Astyanax mexicanus: one gene and its partners. The protein of the gene in region 2 interacts with the protein of the main gene of each other region in a biochemical or structural test. Links are inferred from orthologs where the notes say so. Each region holds a gene or a part of one and is shown on either strand. Other genes may lie near its edges.

Region 1 (7,504 bases), on a different chromosome or scaffold from region 2:
GGAAATGGGCTGTGATATGAGGAATGCCCTCGCACGCACCCCTTCAACCTGCCACCCACCACACCCCCCTGCAACCCCCCTACAGCCCCCCACACCCCCACATGAAATGCTCCTCACGTGAATTTCTGATGACAAGTAGAGCTGATTTTCTAAACATCTCACCAGATGGCAGGACAGGCCTCCATACACTTCACTCTGTTTAAAACAGGCTCCTCCCACAACTGCTGACCTGCACAGTGCTGGATATGTTCTCAGATGTTCTCAGATCCTGCAGATGATTGACTTATAGTTCTATGTATGTATAAGTAGAGCTGGGCAATATGACCATATTTGATCATTTTGTGGTATTTTTTCTAATTGTATTGACGATATATGCAAAGTAAACACGAATAGGTTTTAGTATTACTAACATGCTAATGTGCTTAAAAGATTTGTTTTCAGTAAATTAAATATTTACTTAAATGTTAGGTCACAAAATAGTGTTTAAGTTGTAAGTAAAGGAACAGCTACATTTTTGAATTTCAGGATTAATATTAAAAATTTTAAGTAACGATTACTAAACAAATTTGGGGGAAAAATTAATTTTGAAATTTAAGGATTAAACTTAAAACTATATTTGGGTCCAATTTTAGATTTAAACTTTTCTAAAAAAATTTAGTAAATTAACTAATAAACTATTATCTCTAAATAATTAGTTAATAAATATAATAGCTAGGTTATAAAATGTATTTTAAAGTACGCAAGCGCTTCATTTGGAAGTATAGTTCTGTAAAAAACGATACTTTTCTATACAGCACTATTTCAAGTAAATGTGCTTAAAACTTTAATTACCTCAATATTTTTAAATGTTCTTTTTCATTGTATATTTGTATTGTGATACATTTACTTAATTCGAAAAAATATACACGTTTTAAAGCATTTCAAAGATATAATCACTGCTTAAAGAACACTTGCTTTAAGACCCAACTGTACATTACATTGCCAAAAAAGAATAATTAGTTGAGATTAATTGGATGAACTGCAGGTTATTCTGAATAAAAGTCACTCTACTCACTATGGGATTGCATTTAACCCTTTCAGACCCTGCATTAATTGCAGTGGACATCATGTAGTTTCTTTTTTTCAAATGTTTTGTTGCACAGAAAAACAATTGAGACCTGTTGTCCATCAGAATAGATCGTAAACCAGTCAGTGAAATAGTAGTTTAGCTTTTATATCATGTTTAGGAATAAAAATTCAGCTAATCGGATTTATTTTTATATAGATTTTATATTTGGATAGTAGTGTCTTATTTTGTGTGACAGCACCATTCTTATATTTTCCCTCACTGGAACATAATTCGGGTCTAGAAGAGTTAAAAAGTGTGTACTGTGAAAATATCTTCAAATACTGTGATCCTATATAGAGGAAGTTAATGAAATAAACTCAGTGGAAGATTATTAACACGACCAACACATTCAGACTCTCAGCAGATAGATCAGCTGCATTTAGAAGCAGGAGATCAGTCCTGCTGCTGTTGATGCTGCAGATACGGTCAGCTGATGCCCTCTTTTGGCAGTGTCCAATTACTGCAGCTTCTCTTTAGGAGATATTATTATATTATTTAATAAGCATTACTTTTGGTAATGCTTCTGTTTTGTCAATGATAGTAATATAGGAATTCAATGCTAAAACAAAAAGCAGACATTCTGAGAGTTTACATGTAGTCAGTGTAGGCCTTGTATATTGTCCCAGGCCTAGTTTAGAGTTTATACAGTCCCTTACTTTCCACTAAAATATACTTCAACCACACTTATCTATCCTTAAATATCACTGAAAGTCCCTTGTTCACATAGAAAGATATAGATATAAAATGAATAAAAATAGAGAGCGAGAGAGAGAGAGAGAGAGAGAGAGAGAGAGAGAGAGAGAGCTTGTGAGGCATGAGAGTAAGAGAGAGAGCAACAAAAATACAAAAATAAAAAATGATGATATAAAATGGAATGCACCAAAACAAAATGACTGAAACCAAACTAAATGAAAAATAAAGAATAGTGAATACGTTTTTCACAGGTTTTACTGAGTTTGCCAAGTATTAAGTGCAGTAGTGAAGTAAAAGTAATACTCCAGTAGATACACATACAGTATTTTAGTACTTAATTACAGTAATGAAGTAAAAATAATACTCCAGTAGATACACATACAGTATTTTAGTACTTAATTACAGTAATGAAGTAAAAATAATACTCCAGTAGATACAGATACAGTATTTTAGTACTTAAGTAGAGTAGTTAAGTAGTTAAAAATAATACTCCAGTAGATACAGATACAGCATTTTAGTACTTAAGTACAGTAGTGAAATAATTAAAAATAATACTCCAGTAGATACAGATACCACATTTTGGTACTTAAGTACAGTAGTGAAATAGTTAAAAATAATACTCCAGTAGATACAGAATTTTAGTATTTAAGTACAGTAGTGAAGTAAAAATAATACTCCAGTAGATGAAGATACAGCGTTTTAGTACTTAAGTACAGTAGTGTAGATATTTTAGCTCTGGTGGGCACATAACCAGAACAAGAAGTGGAATGAAAGAGAGAGACAGAGAGACAGAGAGAGAGAGAGAGCGACAGAGACCCGGAAGAGTTTCGAAACCAGGCCTTTTACTGGAAATGGTGCCAGTGAGAGCAGAAATGACGCTCAGAGTCTCCACCCACTAAACACACACACACACACACACACACACTACTGCATGAACACAGCAGCAGTAGCTCAGCACTGCAAACTGTCCTTATCACATTTATTACAGCTTCAGATTGAGCTGCCACTCAGTCCATTACTCACACAGCTGCCTATCTAATAGTGAGCAGCTGTAATTCTCCCACAGCCTGTTTACCACTCACTAACTCACTAATACTAATATCAGTCTTCACAACAAACAGTATCATCATTTAATACAGAACATCACTTTCCATTAACAACCCCCCCAAACACACCTCCCAGTGTAATAGAGCATCATTTTCTCTTTAATAACACACCCATTTACATTATTCACCAGCAACACACATATGGTTCCAGGAATATTAAATTGTAACATTATATATTAAAAAACATTTCAGAAATGCTCTGAAGAACTGTGATGTAGGCCTAATGACATTTCACATAAACATCCCCAGTTAGCCAAACCCTAACATTATATAGAATAACACAAATACAACTGATGCATAAGGTTTAATTAATGTGACATGCAATGCTTCTATTTCTAAACTTTGTAGGGGAGTTGTTCCTTGCCACTGTGTCACCACAATAATTAGCCTCTTTGTGGTGCTGCTCATAAGAGACGTGGACCTGTTTTTTTTTTTTCTTCAAACCTGCTTTTTGCCAACTTTTGTTGTAAAAAGCGCTATACAAATAAAATTTTATTTAATTTAATTTAATTGAAGTATGCATAACAAATGAGAATTGTATGTGTTTAACTGTAAGAATAAAACGGTAAATAAAAACAATCAAGCAATATCCTCACCCATATGGAAAAATTTGTATAATATATGTAAATTAATTTATAAATACATTTGAAAATTTATGAAATAGGCCAAAAATATTTTTTTGCTAATGTACTGTAATCAATTTTATGTCACAAATAAAGGAATACATGAGCATATATATTTTTTTATATTTTATATATCTTTCCATGAGGGGAAAGTTTCATAGACTGAATGTTCTAAGAACCAACAAAGCATTTATAAAATAAAATAAAAAAACAGACACATTTAGCTCTTACCTCTAACATTTTCTAAACGTTGCGACTTATGCTTCTTAGAACGATTAATTTCTGCAAACACCTACATTTTTTTATTTTATTTATACCTGAACAATTTTAATAACATTTACAGTATACATAATTTTGTTTTTCTGTTGTGTTACGTTTATTTATTTATTCTGCAATTTAAGATTTAGTTGGCATGTTTCAATAATAATGTAATATTTATTATATTATTGTTTTATATTATTTGTGTAAGTTAATAAAATATAGTTTTTCGTGTTTAAACAAACACGTTCATTAAATGTGACCACAGTGATAATGTACTGTATGTGTTGAATCATTGTTTTTGTTTGTTTGTTTGTTTGTTTACTTTTTTAGGAATGTTTTCCAGAACGTTACAGTTTAAAAAGTGTAACTTGGAACGTTGTGTTACAAACGTTCCAATTACGTTGCGATTCAAATTCAAATGCAATTCTTTTTTTTTTTCAATTACTGCGACAAAGCACGTTCCTAGAAACGTTATTTCTGAAAATACTCCTGGAAAGCTTTACAAAACGTTTCCGAACGTTTTAATAACGTTCTTACGGCGTTGTTTTAACGCTTTCTATCAGCTGGGCTAATTAATGGCAGAGGCTGCAGCTCCACCGGCTCTGAACGCTGGAAGGAGCTGCTGAATCGCCGCTCAGCTCAGAAAAGTGAAAGTACAGCCGAGCTGGGAAGGGGAAGAAAACACACACACACGCACACGCACACACAACGCACACACACACTCACAAACACACACATACACACCAACGCACACACGGAAGGCGGATAAGCTTATTTCTCCTTTACATGTGTATACGAAGTGGCGACGAGGAGAGGTGAGTCTCATATTTACTCTCTTTTCTGCTCTTTAACTCTCGCTATAGCAGCCTGTAGCGGTTGTCAGTCGTTGTTTATGTCGTTTAAAAGAAGAAGCTTTTTGCCAACGACTCGAGGAGAAGTTGGTGGACTAGGCCACTGTACTGAGGTGCTTACGCAACATGCGTTTTTTAGCTCTCCACAGATCCATCCGAGCGTAAACGCGCACGGCCTCACCAAACTGAGCCTAAAGTGCCTTCCTCTGTTTAGCGACAGTGTTCTAGTCACTTCCCTGCTCTGACAGGGTTTATCAGAACCTGTATCGACTGTTTTTCTAACCAACGACGTTTATAGAGGGAAAGACAGGCCTACCAGAAACCCCAGGACCTCCCAGATCTCAGATCATCTAAACATCAGCCCACACAGCACATTTACAATTAAATTAACAATGTGGGTTTTAAAAAGATATTTTCATCATTTTATACAGTTAAATCTGTGTGGTTCTAACACTGGCACATTTGCTGTGTACCAGCAATCTTGAATACCCCACCAACACCCACTATAATGGTGTTTAGCTATAGCTATATACAGTATATGTGTGTAAATGCTGTAAAACTGTAGTATAGTCACGCTGTTACTTACTATACTATACTATACTAAGACACTACTCTAGGTTCCAGTTCCCAGTGTTAATCCAGTAATAGCTAATGTAGTCTATATATATATATATATATATATATATATATATCTTTATACACAGTACATGCATATATGTATATATTTGTAATGTATGTACGTTTGTATGTACATGATTTACTAAAGTAAAAAAAAGTTAATTTTTCTTTACACTTTTACACACTAAAGGATAACAGTAAATGCTGTGTTGTATCCTGTTGGAGAAACAAATCACATTTTTTTTTAAAGCAGAAGCCTCCTGCCTGAGCTCAGGTTTCTGTTCCCCCTAGATTACTAAATGCTGCCTGTTTCTATGGCTTTTTGGGCAAGGCCTTCACCAACTGAACAAAGACATATTTAAAGGTTCTCCCTAAGCTAAAAGCCAGCAAGAAAGGTGGATATTTACAATAAAAAATATAAATAAAATGCTTTGAAAATGGTGGGATTTTTTTTTTGATATTTTATTATACATTGTTTACAGCATCTGTCATTGGCACAATAAACAAATTGCCAAATATGTTTTTCTGAAGCTTGTTGGTACAGTTATTCATTGTGGATTTTATTTTTTGTTATATTGATACTGAAATTGTATTGCAAGCAACAAAATTAAGAAACGTATTTTGATACAGATTTTGGCTAATAAACAGTTGTTTTCAAAGCATATCTTGAATTTAATCAGTTCTTAAAGGAAACACACCTACTAAGTATATTTCATTACAAGGAGTGTAGCACGCTCTGAAGAAAAGTCACTGTACATTGTATAGCAAGAATTTTATTGCATGAGTAGCAGTTACTGAGGCATTTTGTCTGTTAATATATTGTGATTAATATTGTGTATCATGAAAATAGCTTTTAAATATTGTGATTCTATATTTGTATTGTATCGTCTATCTCTAATATTACTGTGTGAATCTGTAAAAATGTACACTACTCACAAAAGGTAGAAATATAAAATGTAAAATGTTAATTCTACAAAAAATATTATATAATAAAATAGAGCACTTAAATAGAAGCAATCAGTGTTAATTTCCTCATCTCAATGTTGGATATGCCCCAGCAAAAAAATGGCAGTGTTTCAATAACTAACTTGTCATGTGCTCTTAAGCATCAATTACAGCTTGACAACACCAACACTAACCCCTCACGCTTTTCACAAGTCGACTTATTGTCTGCTGAGTCACGATCATCCCACTCTTCTTTAAGGGTGGCTCTCAGGTCATTAAGGTTCTGGGGTACAGAGTTATGAGCCTGTACACAGTGACTCAGCAGGAAATCTGTGGGATTCAGGTCTGGGGAACGTACAGGCTTCTCTGTTTGAGGTACCCCAGACTATTGATGCAACCTTGATAAGCTAGAGCATTATGGTCTATGAAGATGAAATTAGGCTTGTGTTGTTCATGCAGAGACACGTTTACTGTATGTATTGAACTGTAACACTGTAACACTCCCACCACCAAAATCTCGTCTGGTGACAACAGTGGCTGATGCTTAGAGCTCCTCTTGACGTCTCCAATATCGTTGGCGTCCATAATTTCTGCTCACTGTAAACTGACTTTCACCAGTTACATCAGCACTGAGGCCCACTGATCCCTCGTCCAACATACATGCTCCCTAGGATAGGGGGACATATTGCAAAATCTATTCTGCATGAATTCCAACTGTTGCTTAAAATATCTCTTTAATATACAACTCTGGAAAAAAAGAGACCACTTAAAAATTATGAGTTTTTATTATTTTACCAAAGTGAAAACCTCTGAAATATAATCAAGAGGAAGATGGATGATCACAAGCCATCAAACCAAGCTGAACTGCTTGAATGTTTGAACCAGGAGCGGCATAAAGTTATCAAAAAGCAGTGTGTAAGACTGGTGGAGGAGAACATGCCAAGGTGCATGAAAACTGTGATTAAAAACCAAAATCAGAGAAATTGATTCAGAAACTGAAGTGGTCTCTTATTTTTTCCAGAGCTGTATCTTTCAACAGAATCAAATAATTAATTTTACAGTCTGTTTCCCAATCCTACCTATTGGTTTGTGCTCATCAGTCGACTTATAGTGACTTAATTTCAGGATGGTGGCACTAAGAGATCCACCTGAAGACACTGTGTGTTAGGGTTGCAACTAATGATTGTGTTGGTTGTCGACTAATCTAATGATTATTTTTTTGATTAGTTAATTTTTGAGTGATTATTAGTCAGCGATAATTTCCGCCATGTTTTCCATCTCTAAAAACGATAGAAACAG
Region 2 (6,965 bases):
AGTATTTTGGTTCACTTTTAAGTTACTACATGATTCCTTATGTGTTCCTTCATAATGTGAATCACTTCAGTATTCATTTACAATGTATTATTTAGGATTTAGATACTAAGTTATAATTTTGAGATACTATGTCGTTGTTTTGATACACCGTTTCATTATTTTAAGATAATAAGCCTCTATATTTCAAGACACAAAGACATTATTTTAAGATACTGTACTGTATAAAAATTAAGTCAATTATTTAGATGTCTTTCTTACTATTTAGAGGCCAGGATTTTTGTCAGTTGTCTGCCTGATATTACACCACTTAATCTTAAGTATTTCTATTCAATCATTATATTAAAAGTTTTCATGATTGATAAGGAACATTGCTGAAAAGTATAATTGAAATCATAATAGAGAAAAAACTAAATCTGCCAAAATATGTCAAAATATAATGAATAAAATCATAAAATTGACTTTTTTCCTGCACTTCAATTTAAAATTAATATTTTCCAGTTCATGTGCTCCAAACCTTTAGTTTTACTATGTTTGTCTAGTTTTTAACGACTATTTTCAACATGGGTTGATTCCTGTTAGTAATTTGCAATTATTAAGTGAAGTAGAGAGAAAACAGGCCGATTTTCAAAGTGGCCTGTAGGAGATTTCAAAGCCCTCAAAATTTGTAGAATGTAAAGAAGTTATTTTACTGCAAACATTAATTGTGGCCTGTTGTCCATCAGAATAGATTATAAACCAGCCAATAAAACAGTAGCTTAGCCCCGCCCACTGGACTGGACAAAAAAAAATCGGCAACTGAGACATTAGGGCGTCAGGACTAAAGAACAAATGAGGCAAAGTAATACAAACTCGTTTTTCCTATATTTTTTGTGATTTAAAACACTTTTTTATCATGTTTAGGTATAAAAATATAGTTAATTGGTTATAGTAAATTTAATTTATTAAGATTTTATATTAGGGTTGTAGTGTCTTATTTTGTTTGCATTATAGACCAAAAACATAATTCTTATCTGGAGCGTAATCCAGGTATGAAAGGGTTAATTTGACATCCTTTCTCTTTTTTTTTTGAGATGCATTATGATTTTGGAATAGTTTTGTTTGTTTGTTTCAGTTGGCAGTTTGATTAACTTGTTTTTATCCTTTTGTAATTCTTATTATGTCATTTACTAACTAATGTTGGATCAGATTCGTGTGTTATTGATGATGTTTCAGCTAATACGCATTTATGTCCCAAAAAAAGGTAAGTCAACAATCATAGCTGGACATGCTGTCTCATACCTGTACAGGTGGTACTAATGCTTCATTCCGCCAGATGGCACTAATTTCACCCAGTAACTCTTGAGTTTGGTTGGGTTAAATAGGGGTATTTTATTTTTGTATTATTATCTCCGTTTCTCTCCGTGGTTTGGTGAACACCACTAACCCCAGCAGTGGAAAGAAGCTCCAGTCTGACATTAAACTGGTAGGACGGGTATTTCTGGGTGGAGTCTGATTTACCGGATCCGATCAGACCGGGCTGCGGAGCGGCTGTAAACTCCCGCAGCCCACTCGATAAAAACAGCCGCGCGCAATCAGCGGATATCGGAACGGATGAGTGTGATGAGGAGCGCGCGCTGGGACGGCCGATGTTCCGCGGCCGGGCGCGCGGCGGCTCGGTGGGATTCCCCGGCGGGATGTTTACTACTCTACCTCTCTTCAGAGAAACCCCTCGAGCGTGGAGCTCAGGCCACGCCCACCAGCAGCACAGCACACCTTTAATATATATTTTAACATGTATATAATTCAGCATTTATTATTCTTATTATAATAATCCATAACTGCTGTGTAAATTAATTCCATTTAATTTCTATGGATGATTTATTGTAGTCTTAACCCAAGACGTTTAAAAGATGTTGTGTAACATTCCTTAACCCTTTCATTATGAATGAACCCTGAATTATGTTCCAGTGACAAAAAACGGTAAGAATGCTGTTTTCTGTCTTGTAGTGCACACGCAAAATACTCTAATAAAACATCTATACAAAAATGGAATCCAACTAAAAAATTGAATTTATTTAAATGCCCATTGCATTGAATACCTGTTTAACATTTCATTTTATATTAATAAAAATGGTTCTAAAGAACATAAAATGAGCAAATATGAGCTCTTGTCATTTTTTCAGTGCAGTGGGCGGGGCTAATCTACTGTTTCATTGGCTTGCATTGACTTGTTTTATTGGCTGCTGCATGGTCTATTCTGATGGACAACAGGTCTCAAATAATGTTATGTGCAACAAAACATCAAAGAAAAAAAAAGAAAATACATGATGTCCATTGTAATGGACGCAGGGTCTAAAAGGGTTAAAGCACTCTGTCTTACACTTTAATTCATGAAGCTCCAAAGTGACATCTACTGAACATCCTAAGAGCATCATCACAGCACATATTACAGCGATATTTGCAGATTGTAAAGATGGAAGTGCAGACATTTTTTAGATCCTTTAAAAAGGGCATTATTTGCTTACGCATATGTTCCAACCATTTGAACAAGTTTTGACTTGATTTCTAGAACAAAATGTTAAAATATAATCAACGTCACGAAAGTCATGAAATTGTTGTGTTATTTGTGTTACATCAGGATTTTAAACCTAAAATATTTACAGTCATGTGATCACAATAAGAAAAATAAATATTAATATAAGCTTTTCACTGAAATCAGCTGATTCAATTTTAAACTTGGTATCAATATTCTGAAATGCGTCTGTGCCTTTATGGCTTAAGTAAAATTATGTATGTATGTATGTATGTATGTATGTATGTAAAGTTATGTTTACGTATTTACTGCTTATTACTAGTGATCCACTATGTACAATTTGATCTCAATTCGTCGTGTAAATCACAATCTTTTTACCATCACTAACAGCTTATATCACAATATGTTTTATCCTATTGTAGACGCGATATTAACAAGCTACAGAGAGGCGGCCTACTCGAATATTGGAATTCTTGTATTTGTTGTAAATGTAAAGTAATTCATTATTTTTGTAGTATTGTTTTGGCTTTGACTTAATGTAATAATGACTTTACATTTAACCATGATCGGAGTCCTGGAGCGCCGATTCAATGTGCCTACCTCTAGTAAAAACTATGGCTGCGCTAAAGAGCGTGCGTTGGCCTTTATTCCAGTAAAAGTAGAAGTCCTCCTAACTTAAATAAATGTACAAAAGTATGAAACATCCAATGCACTCAGATATCAAAAACAAGAAAATAGAGATAATTCTCTAATGCTTTAATGTTCTATGGCCATTTTTTATAACTGATTAATTAGCATATTTTAGTTGGTTGAAGTCTTTAGAGAGTCACTCTGGCTTACAAAATCGTTGATTAGTTTGATTATGCATATTAAAATGAAAATAAAACACAAACGCAAAATACTAAAGGCCAACAGTTTCTATAAGATACAATCAATCGGCTATAAAAATTTTTTTGCCAACAAGCGAAGTTTCAGTTCAGAATTATTTTACAAATGTATGAACACGTTTAAGTTGATTAAAACAAGCTTTAAACGCAATTTTACAAACGAGTTTTCCTATAATATAATATAGGAAATATAATATAATGCCACATCTATATATTCCATATAATGGATTATTGACGCAGCATAGAGGCTATCACAATTTTAAACAGTCCAACAGATCATAACAAGTTAAAACTAAGAGGTCGTTGAATCATTGTGTGCTTGCTTTGTTGTTCTTTCGTGTTGATGTAATACATTTTTATTGCATAATTAAACAAAAAAAAAAACAATATTGACTTTTCCGCTATTAACATACTTTCTGGACAGCACGTGACATATCTTTATATTTTATTTTTTTATGTTTTTGTATTTATTTTAATACAATGTATTATTATTATTATTACTACTACTAGCATGATTAAAGCATTGCAGATGCATACTCGAATTTTTTTTTAGTTCTATGGTACTGAATATGTGTAAAACTAGTTTAAATAGAACCGGATTTCATACATATTAATGAGCTTTTTATTACATTTATTAAATGTATTAAATGTTGTATCAATATATAGAAATGAGTCTAGGCGCTCCTGGGTCCAATGAACGCCAGTGACCAGATCTAGTAAATGTTTCTAGTAAAAGTATTATAGTACTTATATGTATAATATGTTTCTGTTGACTGTGAATTGTGGTGACAGAATTCAGTGTATTTTTATAGCCCCGCCCACTTGTATTTAGGTCCCGCCCCTTTTGCGCTGCAGTTGAAGGCTTCTTAAGCGCTGGAGCGTCTCTCAGCCCACTCTGGTGCAGGAGAAGTTTCAGAGCTGCGATTGAGGAGCATTGCGCAGTGCGATCACTGAGGTAAGAGCTGGGGAACGGAGCCTGCAGCCTGGAGACTGAGCAGTCTGGAGAACCTTTAGAACCATTAGAACATCATAGAACATTATTGAAGCCTCAAGTGAAATTTTAGTACATTTTAATTCATTGTTTTATTAAATTAAAGTGCAGCACAAAACAAAAAGTGCGGCACTTTTGATTTCAGCACTCACACGTATTTTATTTTAGTTTAGACTTCAGTGCATGATTCATTTTATTAATATAATTGATATTATATCATATCCAGGCTCACAGTTCCAGTGCATGCAGCTTCTCTCAGCAGGCTCAGCATCTTCTCCAAGGCACGTTGGCATTTGCATGATCCGAGCTGTGCACCTGCATGTCCGGTCACCACTGTCGCATGCGTCCTTTGGCAGGCATGAATTTAGATGGGGACTGCAGCATGTCAGTCAGTTGTGGCAATGGCAAGCTTAGGCAGTGGCTCATCGAGCAGATTGATAGCGGGGAATATCCCGGCCTGGTCTGGGAGAATGACGAGAAAACCATTTTCAGGATACCCTGGAAACACGCGGGAAAGCAGGACTACAACCGCGACGAGGATGCTGCGCTCTTCAAGGTGAGTCCACCTGAAGATACCTGATATTAACTTCAGAGAAAGTATGACAAGAGTTTTCAAAAAAAAGGTAGAGGAACAAAATGTAGCATCTCCAACATTTACCCAAGTATTTTGTTCTCAAGAACTTTTCAGAGGAACTACTTGATCCACCCACCTTTAGTCAGTATAGGAACTGATGGTAGGAAGTCTGTTAAGACCCTGTTCTTCTCGTTTTGGTGTTAATTGATAAAGATCATTATTTAGTGTACAAATAGTAGAGTAACAATAAAAAAAGAAGAACAGACGTCTTAGCTTCAAGCTCTAGAAGCTTTAAACTGCAGAAAAAAAACTTCTAATACAATCTAGGTAGGATTCTTCGAACTGGAAGAAAATCTGCTTCCATCAGTATGTTGACAAGCGTCTGTTTTTTTTGTGGTCTGAAATAAAAGGATGAATGAATGATGAATGAAGTTCTAAAGGAAGATCAGAAAAAGGTGAAAATATTAGAGTAGACAAACAAATGTTAAAAAGCTCTAAAACGATCTACTTGAAATCTGTTTTTGAACTGCAAAAGCGTTTATTTCTCCATCCAATCTTAGCCAGAACTCTTCTCATATTTCTCTTAAAACTCTAAATAAATTATACAGATTTATAGTTAGATTTGAGAACTTTCACAATGTAGTACAAACCCTAGAGCAAAACAAATAAAAATTAAATTTAAATTAAAAACAAGTTAAGGAATGAAAAGTAGCATCTCCCAAATTTTACCCGAGTACTTTCAGTAACTTAAGAGGAACTTCTTGGTCCATCCACCAGTGTCGTCAGTGTAGGAACTGTTGATAGGAAGTCTATCAAGACCCTGTTCTTCTCGTTTTGTTATAAACTGATAAAGATCACCATTTAGTGTACAAATAGAAGAATAACAATAAAAAAGAAGAACAGATGTCTCAGCTCAAAGCTCTAGAAGCTTTAGAACTGAAGAAAAAAAAAACATTTTAGACCAATGACCAAACGAAAACGTTCAAGTACCACCTACTAGCCATTTCACAGGAACACATGTAGTTACCACACACATAGTTATTTATACACAGTAATCTAGAGGTGTAATCCACACATATACATGTCCTCATATCTGTAGACAGTGGTTCGTCACCTGATATGTGGTCTGCTTTTTCTTTTCTTTTTTCTGTAAGTTAGTTTGTGTGGTAAATTGTTTGATTGATTATTGTTTCTGGCTTATACAGTTTTCCTACTAAGACATCTTTTTTAGCTATTTAGCTACTAATTTAATTGAACTGTTGGTGAATAGTTGGTTGGTATAAGCATATCTTGTGGTGTTCCACAGGGTTTTACTCTAGGGTCAATGAAAATTACAGCTGGAAACATGATAGATTATGGTAGAGTTCTAGAGTTATTTTAATGCAAGCTGATTTTTTTTTGAGGTTATCTAGTGTACCATCTTGGGATGCTTCACGTACCACCAGGGGTATCCGTACCACAGTTTGAGAACCACTGTCTTAGACAATCTTGGTAGAATTCCACCAACTGGAACTGGAAAAAAATACTAAGCTTCCATCAGCAAGTTGACTACAGTCTGCTCTTTTTCTTTTGGGTTTGAAATAGAATAATGAATGAACGATGAAAGAATAAAAGTTCTAGAGAAAGATCAGAAAGTCGTAAAAATATTAGAGCAGACGAACAAAAGTAAAAAAGCTCTAAAAGATCTACTTAAGAATGAAATATAAAGAAATGTCTTGCTCCATCCACCATTCAGTATGGGAACTGAAGTCTCTAAGACATTATTCATCACATATTTCTCTAAAACTCTAAATACATGATACAGATGTAAAGTTAGAATAAGTAAGAACTATTGCAAAGTAGTACTAACTTTTAAAGTTGGAGAAGAGCATCAAGGTCCATATACTATTTTTCCAATCCAATCTGTCCAGTCTAATATACTTTTTTTTGTCTAAAATCTAATAAACCTCTATAATGTTAGTGGTGAAAAAATCACAAGTCAGAGTTTATACCATTCACAAA
Region 3 (7,849 bases), on a different chromosome or scaffold from region 2:
AACAGTAAACACTAGCAGTAAAACACTAAGTAAAACACTAACAGTAAACACTAGCAGTAAAACACTAGCAGTAAAACACTAACAGTAAACACTAGCAGTAAAACACTAAGTAAAACACTAACAGTAAACACTAGCAGTAAAACACTAAGTAAAACACTAACAGTAAACACTAGCAGTAAAACACTAGCAGTCATAATCTGCCATAATCTGCTCCGCCTCCACTCAATATGCATTTTTTTTTTTTCTGGAGCGTTTTGCTTGTGGCAAGAACGTGATCCGGTCTTGATCTGACCCAGCAATTAAATATTCTTTTTTCTTTATTAATTGAGCTAAACTAATGATTAGGCGCAGTTTAATCTGATATGTTATATATTATATATTATATATTATCTGATCAGGTAATATACAGCTATGAACAAATGCTGTCTCTGCTGCTCCATGCTGTTTACACACTAAGAGCACGGCATGTGCAGCGTTCAGTGTTTAAAAGCGCAGCAGCACCTTTTTAGCATTCTGTATTAAAGCAGCTTCACTCTGCACAGATATACCATGCAAGCACATCGTCTCCTCTGATTGGTCATATAGATACAATAGATACAAACAGCTAATTTACAAAAAGCAGAGTTTTTACAGCACTGTTTTCCTTAAAACATCTCCTAATCTCTCCTCATCTGAGTTTAATAGAGTTATTTCTAGTTCTCATCATATCAACACCTGGTTTGGTAAATCAAATCTTTAACATCTTACTGATGTTAAATCAGGTGAGCTGCTGACGGAACTGAACATATCATATGCTGGCTTGTCTGAGGGAATCCAGGAGAAATGTGGAACTAAACTTTGTTCTAAAGCTTGGCTCACAGGATATAACCTACTTAGGTAAAAATGAGAAATTCCTGTTACTTTTTAATGTATTATGTTTATTTGCATCTGTTTAAATCACATATAGTGCTTTTTTCAGGCAAAAACACTCAATTAGTGTACTTTTACACAGTACTGTACATATATAAAATTACATTGGGAGTTGACCCACAAGTGCAGTAAAAAACAGAGCTAATATAAAGCTAAAATAATAAAAAAAAAGCAGCTTCTTACCACTTTGGCCACTCTCTCCATCGATTATGTACGGATACTCCATCGGCGGTCGATAGATGTCCGTCTCATAGATCAGCTCTTCCGTCGGCTGCAGGGTGAAAGTGGGAAAAGATCGTTTTTGACCACTCAGAACGCAAAACACCAAAGCAAAGCCCCAAAGTTTCAATGCAGAAATATGAATGCAGTATATATTTATGAGCAGGATGAGAAACACGAGCCTCACATCTTTGTTTACAAGGGCCCAGTAATCTTTAAATTCAGAAGGTGTCTGTGACATCCAGCCAGTCCGGGTTATTTTCTATTACACACAGAAATTATAGTTCAGTAATTCAGTAATTTCTGTGAACAGTTCTTTATTTTTACATCCTTAAAAAATTATATATGTAAGGGTGCCACAAATGGTTTCTTGAGGGATGCCATAAATAAAAGAACCACTTTTGTCTTCAGAAAGTCAGTTTTTGTTATAAGAAATCTTTACAAGAGTGTGAACATGTTCTTTTTTATGATTTTTTAAAAATATTTTTTTTTATATTTAAAGCCCACATCCATTTTTTACGAACTATCCTTTTTTATTATTATTATTATTATTGTTATTATTATTATTATTATTATTTCTCAATGTAAACTAAAGTGGTTCTTTTGTGGCATTGCTTATTAAGCCCTTTGTAGCACCTTTAAAAAAAAAAAGTTTTTTTTAGTAGAAAAGATTGGATAAATGATTGGCTGTAATATGTTAGTTGATATATTAGTTGAATTTGTTACGAATGATTGATTGACATTGGTTGCTCGATAATGTTAATAACATTAGATTTTTAAGACATTTTAAGGTTGAAATTTGATTTCATTTAACAACATATACATATATACACGACAAGAGATTGATCACATCAAGTCATCTACAGTGGATGAGATCAGAATAGATCAGAAGAAATTGTATATTTTTTGACATATATGTGGAAATTAATCAAATGCAAAAAGTTGAAAAGTTACTGTTGTTTAAATGGAAAAGATTAGCAAGCAAACTATATACTTCACAACTGCAAGTACAAGTACAATACACATATACATATACATATATGGATAAGATCAGAATAGATCAGAAGAAATTTTATATTTTTTGACATATATGTGGAAATGAATCAAATGCAAAAAAAAACTTGAAAAGTTACTGTTGTTTAAATGGCAAAGATTAGCAACAAAACTATACACTGCACAACTGCAAGTACAAGTACAATACACATATACATACACATATATATTGCATTTTTAAACTGTAATTATTTAGCATTAAAATGGCTACACAGGCTTAAGGCCACTGTTAGGAACGGCTAAACCCTGTCATCACTTTGACTATAGCTAGTTCAAAACCCAATCTCATCAATTTCAAATTTCTACTGCGATAACTCAACACAACGCAACATCACACACACACACACTTCACCACGCGCTCACACACTCTTAGGAAAGATGGGGAATACTCACAGGTGGGATGATGTACCCCTCCATTCTGTACGAAGGCAACATATGGGGTCTTCTCGGCTTCGCTCTAGCTCTAGCTCTTCGCGCTAACCCTCTCAATGGCTTTCAAAACTGTCCCCGAGCCATTGCACAACTAAATTTCCTCTTACCAAATGAAACCAAAGATCTCGGACGCCGCTCGCATGCACACTCGCACACACACACACCCGCAAACACCTTATCCAGTGGGGGCCACACTGCTGCTTTCCAGGGCCCTTGAAATCAACAGAAAGCGGCTAAAGATACAGTCAGAGCAAGTAGCAAGTTAGCCTAACAGCAAGCGTGACCAAAAAGGACAGGGCTTTCTGTTTGTTACTTCTTTATTTTTGGGTATGTGTGTGTGTGTGTGTGTGAGTGTGTGTGAGAGAGAGCCTGCTGCTGGTTCCTGATTTTAGGGTGATGTCAGGTGGGGATTATAACTACTCAGTTCGAACAGACGCAGTGTGTCACCTCCCCCAATAGCCAATCAAGAGGCAGCTCAGCCAACACGCTTCTTCCTGTCCACCTCCATGCTGCCTGCCATTCGGCGAGCTTTAACGTAGGATGAAGGAATAATTGGTGCCACTTTAGAAGACTTTGGGGGTCGTCTAATTGGCCCGTTTTGCTGGCCGTCCCTAAACGGACCAATATACCCCAACATTCTCCAATGTTGGGCTGTTTTAATGGTTTAAAATGGATTTAAATGGATTTAAAGAAGTAGATTTAAAGAAGTGGATTTAAGGGTCAATTTCAGTATATATCAATATATCTTCCCTGTGTCTGCAGTATAGTTTACAGTTTACGTTTTATACAAACAATGTTATTATAATTTTTAATATTATATATTATTTATAACTTCCTATAAAAAAAGACCGAACGTTTGCTTGGTGTGCATTTTTTTATGTATTATATCTATGTGGAATCAGTAGGACCGAACAAGTATAAAAACGAAACTTTGTTTTGTACAGAAAGTCATTTTTTTTGCAAATCACATTGCCCTAGTAGGTAGAGAATAGTTTATTTTAACATTTAAAAATGATCCTTGCAATTTGGGATGAGAAGACCCCAATTAGTACAAAAACCCAGTATCTTATTTTTAATCAATCGAGAGTACTGTTGCATGCGACCACCAGATGGTACAGGCAGTGTCTCCATATAAGGACAAAGGGTTGACGTTTTAACAAATGTAGAATAATGATACAGAAATGCAGAAATGTAGTGTCCTCAAAAGAGGACAAAGGGTCTTAAGTGGTTTATTCTAATGGACAACAGCTCTCAAATAATGCTAATAGTGTTATGGGCAACAAAATATTTAAAAATAAAGAAAATACATGATGTCCATTGTGATGTATGCAGAGTCTGAAAGGGATAAATATATATATATATATACTACATTGGTATTAATATTAAAGATTTAAAAACTATGAAGGTACACATATGCAGTTAGTTACTTCACATACACCCGGCATAAAAACCTAACTCAGGATTTTTGGGATGAGTTAGAGCTCAGCATTTCTAAAACTCCTTTGAGACAGTTGTAGAACCATTCCAGGTTTTACTTAATGACTTAATTACTGACTGAGATAATCAGACAGGATGTGCAAAACTGGCCTTTGAGCAAAAGGTGCTACTTTTAAAGAAGGTGCTAAAGAATCTAAAGTATAAACATATTTTGGCTTGTTTAACTTTTTGTTTTTTTATAAGTACATATGCATTTCTTTATAGTTTATATATGTATATAAATATATACATTATTTAAAAAATGTAAAAAAAAAAAATAGTAAATGAGAAGGTATGTACTGTGTACATATGTGTTGTTTTATTGTAACTCTTTTAATTAAGTGTGGCAGAAAAAAAATTATAATATGAGGAAGTTGTTTAAAGATTTAAAGAAGTGAATTGTTTCCTATTGAGCTATTTAAACGTATGTGAAACAAATCTGGAAGATTTTGCCTGAAAGGTAAAAAAAAAACTAAGCTCATCCAAATATATCCTTCTTATATATTTAATAAAATGTGTGTCATAGCAATCTGCACAACAGGGTGGGCAATTTTAGTGAAAACTGACGTTTGATGAAAACAAGGTTGACCTGAATTGATTATAGTGAGCTTGTTTAGATTTAAAAAAATACATTTAGATTTTCTTAAATACCTTAGCTTTACCTCTTTACGCTAAGTATGGATAAGATAAAATAAAAATATTACTTAAATATTCACTATTTACTGTATACCTGTTTACAACTGATGCTCTCAAACAAATTAAGAGACAAGAAATTCAAGTAATTAACTCTTGACGAGTTCAGCACAGCTGTTAACTGAAAGCCTGAATTCCAGGTAACTCTACCTCATAAAGCTGACTGAGAAAATCCAGCAGATATGTGTAAAACTGTCTCTATCTAAGCAAGAGGAATACTTTGAAGAATCTAAAATATAAAACATATTCTGGTTTGTTTGAACACTTTCTTGCTAACTGAATAATTCCACATATATTCTTTCATAGTTTGGATGACTGTAGTATTGATCTACAATGCAGATTCAAAGTTTAGAATAATGAAAAAACACTGTATTGAAGGTGTGTCTAATCTGTGACTGAAATTTTACCTTTTAAACCTTATTTAACCTGTTAAAAGTATCTGTAGACATGGCAAAAAAGCCCACCCGCCCCCAAGTTTAAAAGAAACTCTATACAATGCTGTACAAAAAAGTGCTTCAAAATGATGGCAAACATTACATACCTACTATATATGTAAGACTGTGTTCATTCAGATTGAATACTGATCAATTTCCCGGGTGAAAAGGAAGTATATAGTTAAGAACACCGAAAGTATGATCAAATTAGGTAAAGAATACTAAAAGTAAATTTATATATTTAATATATTTTATGAAAATACAAATTAAATTAAACTTTTTCTGTATTTCCATAAAAAGTATTTTTAAGCAGTAGGCTTTAAATTATATGTTGTGTTGATAGAAAATATATGTAGTGGCATTAACCCTCCTATTATCTGTGGGGTAAATTTGACCCCATTTAGTGTTTAAAGTCTCTAAAAAAAAGGTTGACATTAGTTTTGTCATTTATATTCATTGTCTTTTCTTAATTTAATGAAGACAATTAACGAAAAACAAAATGTTTCAAATGTTTCAACTTTAATGTATTTTTTATTAAGGCTGTTTTATTGACATAAAACATAAGAAATATCTAAGAAATATTTGACACATTTTTGTGTGGTAATAATGTTAAGATCACTATGACATTCCATTTTAGAATCTTTTTCTAAATGCCCCTTTACTTTAGGCCCTGATTTAACAAAACATTACTTATAATACTTACATAATACTAATAAAACACAATAATGCCAGAACAGATTATATTTTTAAAAATAAACATAAAGTAACTGATGAGTAAACTTTGCTAACATGTTTAATGATCTGTAATTATGATATTTTTCTGAAGGTTTAAATTGCTGGGATCATATTGACCAGATAATAAATGGTGTTTGTAAATTTGAGGATAGCAGGAGGGTTAAATACTATTTTAAAGTGCACTTATTTATGTGAATAAGTACATTTAATTTATTTCTCAAATTATATATATATATAAGATAGTTTGAGCCAGTTTTTTTAGATTACGTCCAAATTTCCTGTTGAATTGACCTATAAAACTGCTTGAACAAGAATAAAATGAATTAAGTCATTGTACACTGAATAATTTTTCTTTTTGAGTTTATAAAATGTTTTGTATGACAGCAACAAAGTTATTGTAATAATATATTATTGTTAAACAAAAAAAAGAAATGGCAAAAATATACCAAATATATTAAATATTGCATTAATTGCATTAAAAAATAAAGCTCCATTTCATGCACTTATTTTCATTTCCAAAATGCACTTGTAGAATTCATTTTAAACTCTTTGTTTTGAGTTAAACTGTAGTTAGTGAACTCAGAGCTCTCTCTCTCTTGGCTGCAGACGATGAGTTATCTGAGAGATAAGGTAGTTGGTGAGACTGTCTCGTATCAGTTATAATCTTCTGGAGCAGTTTCACCAAGACAAGAAGTGACAGTAGATAGCAGGTCTATATGTAACTCTGGCTGATTTAATCAAACGGCTGTGGTAAAGATACTTAGGAAGAATGTCGTCGGTGTCAGACAAAAACCTTGTATCTCAAAAATGGCAACTTTACAGTAGAAATAGCCTTTTTTTTACACTGAAAATCACAATGAAAAGAATTGGTAGATTCTGTCAAAAAGGGGGAAAAGGCAAAAATGGAGATACATGATAAAATGCATTTAATGCAAATAATTCTGGCTAAAATAGTATAGAGGAGGATTCTCTTCAGGCCTGACTGAAGGTCTAGGACTAGGTTTAATCCCTGTCTGGAAAACTGCTTAGCAGGTTTACTTCATATCAGTTTAAAGCAAAAAATCATCTGAAGGCATGTATCACTTAGGAATTTTTGGAAAGCTTGGCAGCACTAATTAATTGTTTTATAAATGATCCTTTATAAAGCATTACTACACTACTTTATAGTAGCTGATCATCCTCTTAGGTGAATAAAACTCTAAAATATAAAAAATCTAAAAAATGCTCTGAACCAAAGAACATAATACTTTAATAATGGTCAAAAATGAGTTTTTTTTTATACTGTACATTCCATGTATAAATGTATAATTAATAGGTTATCAAACATCAAAGTCTTTCAACTGATTTAATCAAATGGCTGAGGTAAAAAATACTTAGGAAGCATATCGCCAGTCTCAGACAAAAAACCTTGTATCTCAAAAATAGCAACTTTACAGTAGATTCTCTAGTAGATTCTGTCAAAAAGAGAAAATTGGCAAAAATTGAGATACAAGGTCCTGTATAGCAAGAATCACATTGTGCAGCATACTGTACAAACTGAACTGCATTTAAATGTATTGAAAATGCCCCAGTATATTGTTTTCTCCATATCAGTTTAAAGCAGAAATTCATCTGAAAGCATTAATAACTGCCAAGCCCCCAAATGTCCTTTAGCCTTCTTATATTAAAATGTAGCCCATAGAAAATGTTGCAGACTATTGTGGTTTCTTTCATAGTAAGTGATGAATGCATGTAACGTACATTAAGTATTCACAGCACATGTAATTAATTACATTTTAATTTAACTCAAAAACGGCAACTTTACAGTAGAAATAGCCTTCTTTATGCTGGAAGTCACAATGAAAAGCACTGGTATATAGTACAGAGGAGGATTCTGTTCAGGCATGACTGAAGGTCTA

Evidence for each region.
Region 1: the proteins of irf4a (region 2) and stat6 form a complex in vitro, tested with the Homo sapiens proteins (2 studies listed by BioGRID). The link is inferred for Astyanax mexicanus from reciprocal best matches to the Homo sapiens genes IRF4 and STAT6.
Region 3: the proteins of irf4a (region 2) and spi1b are reported together in a solved structure, tested with the Homo sapiens proteins (2 studies listed by BioGRID, with this or other methods). The link is inferred for Astyanax mexicanus from reciprocal best matches to the Homo sapiens genes IRF4 and SPI1.

What each region holds. Positions count from the first base shown.
Region 1 is NC_064420.1:43,313,500-43,321,003, forward strand, and holds the start of stat6 (signal transducer and activator of transcription 6), read left to right. Parts: upstream 1-4,485; 5' UTR 4,486-4,606; intron 4,607-7,504. UniProt on the Homo sapiens protein: Carries out a dual function: signal transduction and activation of transcription. Involved in IL4/interleukin-4- and IL3/interleukin-3-mediated signaling.
Region 2 is NC_064415.1:8,773,235-8,780,199, forward strand, and holds the start of irf4a (interferon regulatory factor 4a), read left to right. Parts: upstream 1-3,941; 5' UTR 3,942-4,354; intron 4,355-4,616; 5' UTR 4,617-4,709; coding exon 4,710-4,946; intron 4,947-6,965. UniProt on the Homo sapiens protein: Transcriptional activator. Binds to the interferon-stimulated response element (ISRE) of the MHC class I promoter. Binds the immunoglobulin lambda light chain enhancer, together with PU.1.
Region 3 is NC_064430.1:7,877,538-7,885,386, forward strand, and holds the start of spi1b (transcription factor PU.1b), read right to left. Parts: upstream 3,020-7,849; 5' UTR 2,617-3,019; coding exon 2,575-2,616; intron 1,391-2,574; coding exon 1,316-1,390; intron 1,181-1,315; coding exon 1,093-1,180; intron 1-1,092. UniProt on the Homo sapiens protein: Pioneer transcription factor, which controls hematopoietic cell fate by decompacting stem cell heterochromatin and allowing other transcription factors to enter otherwise inaccessible genomic sites.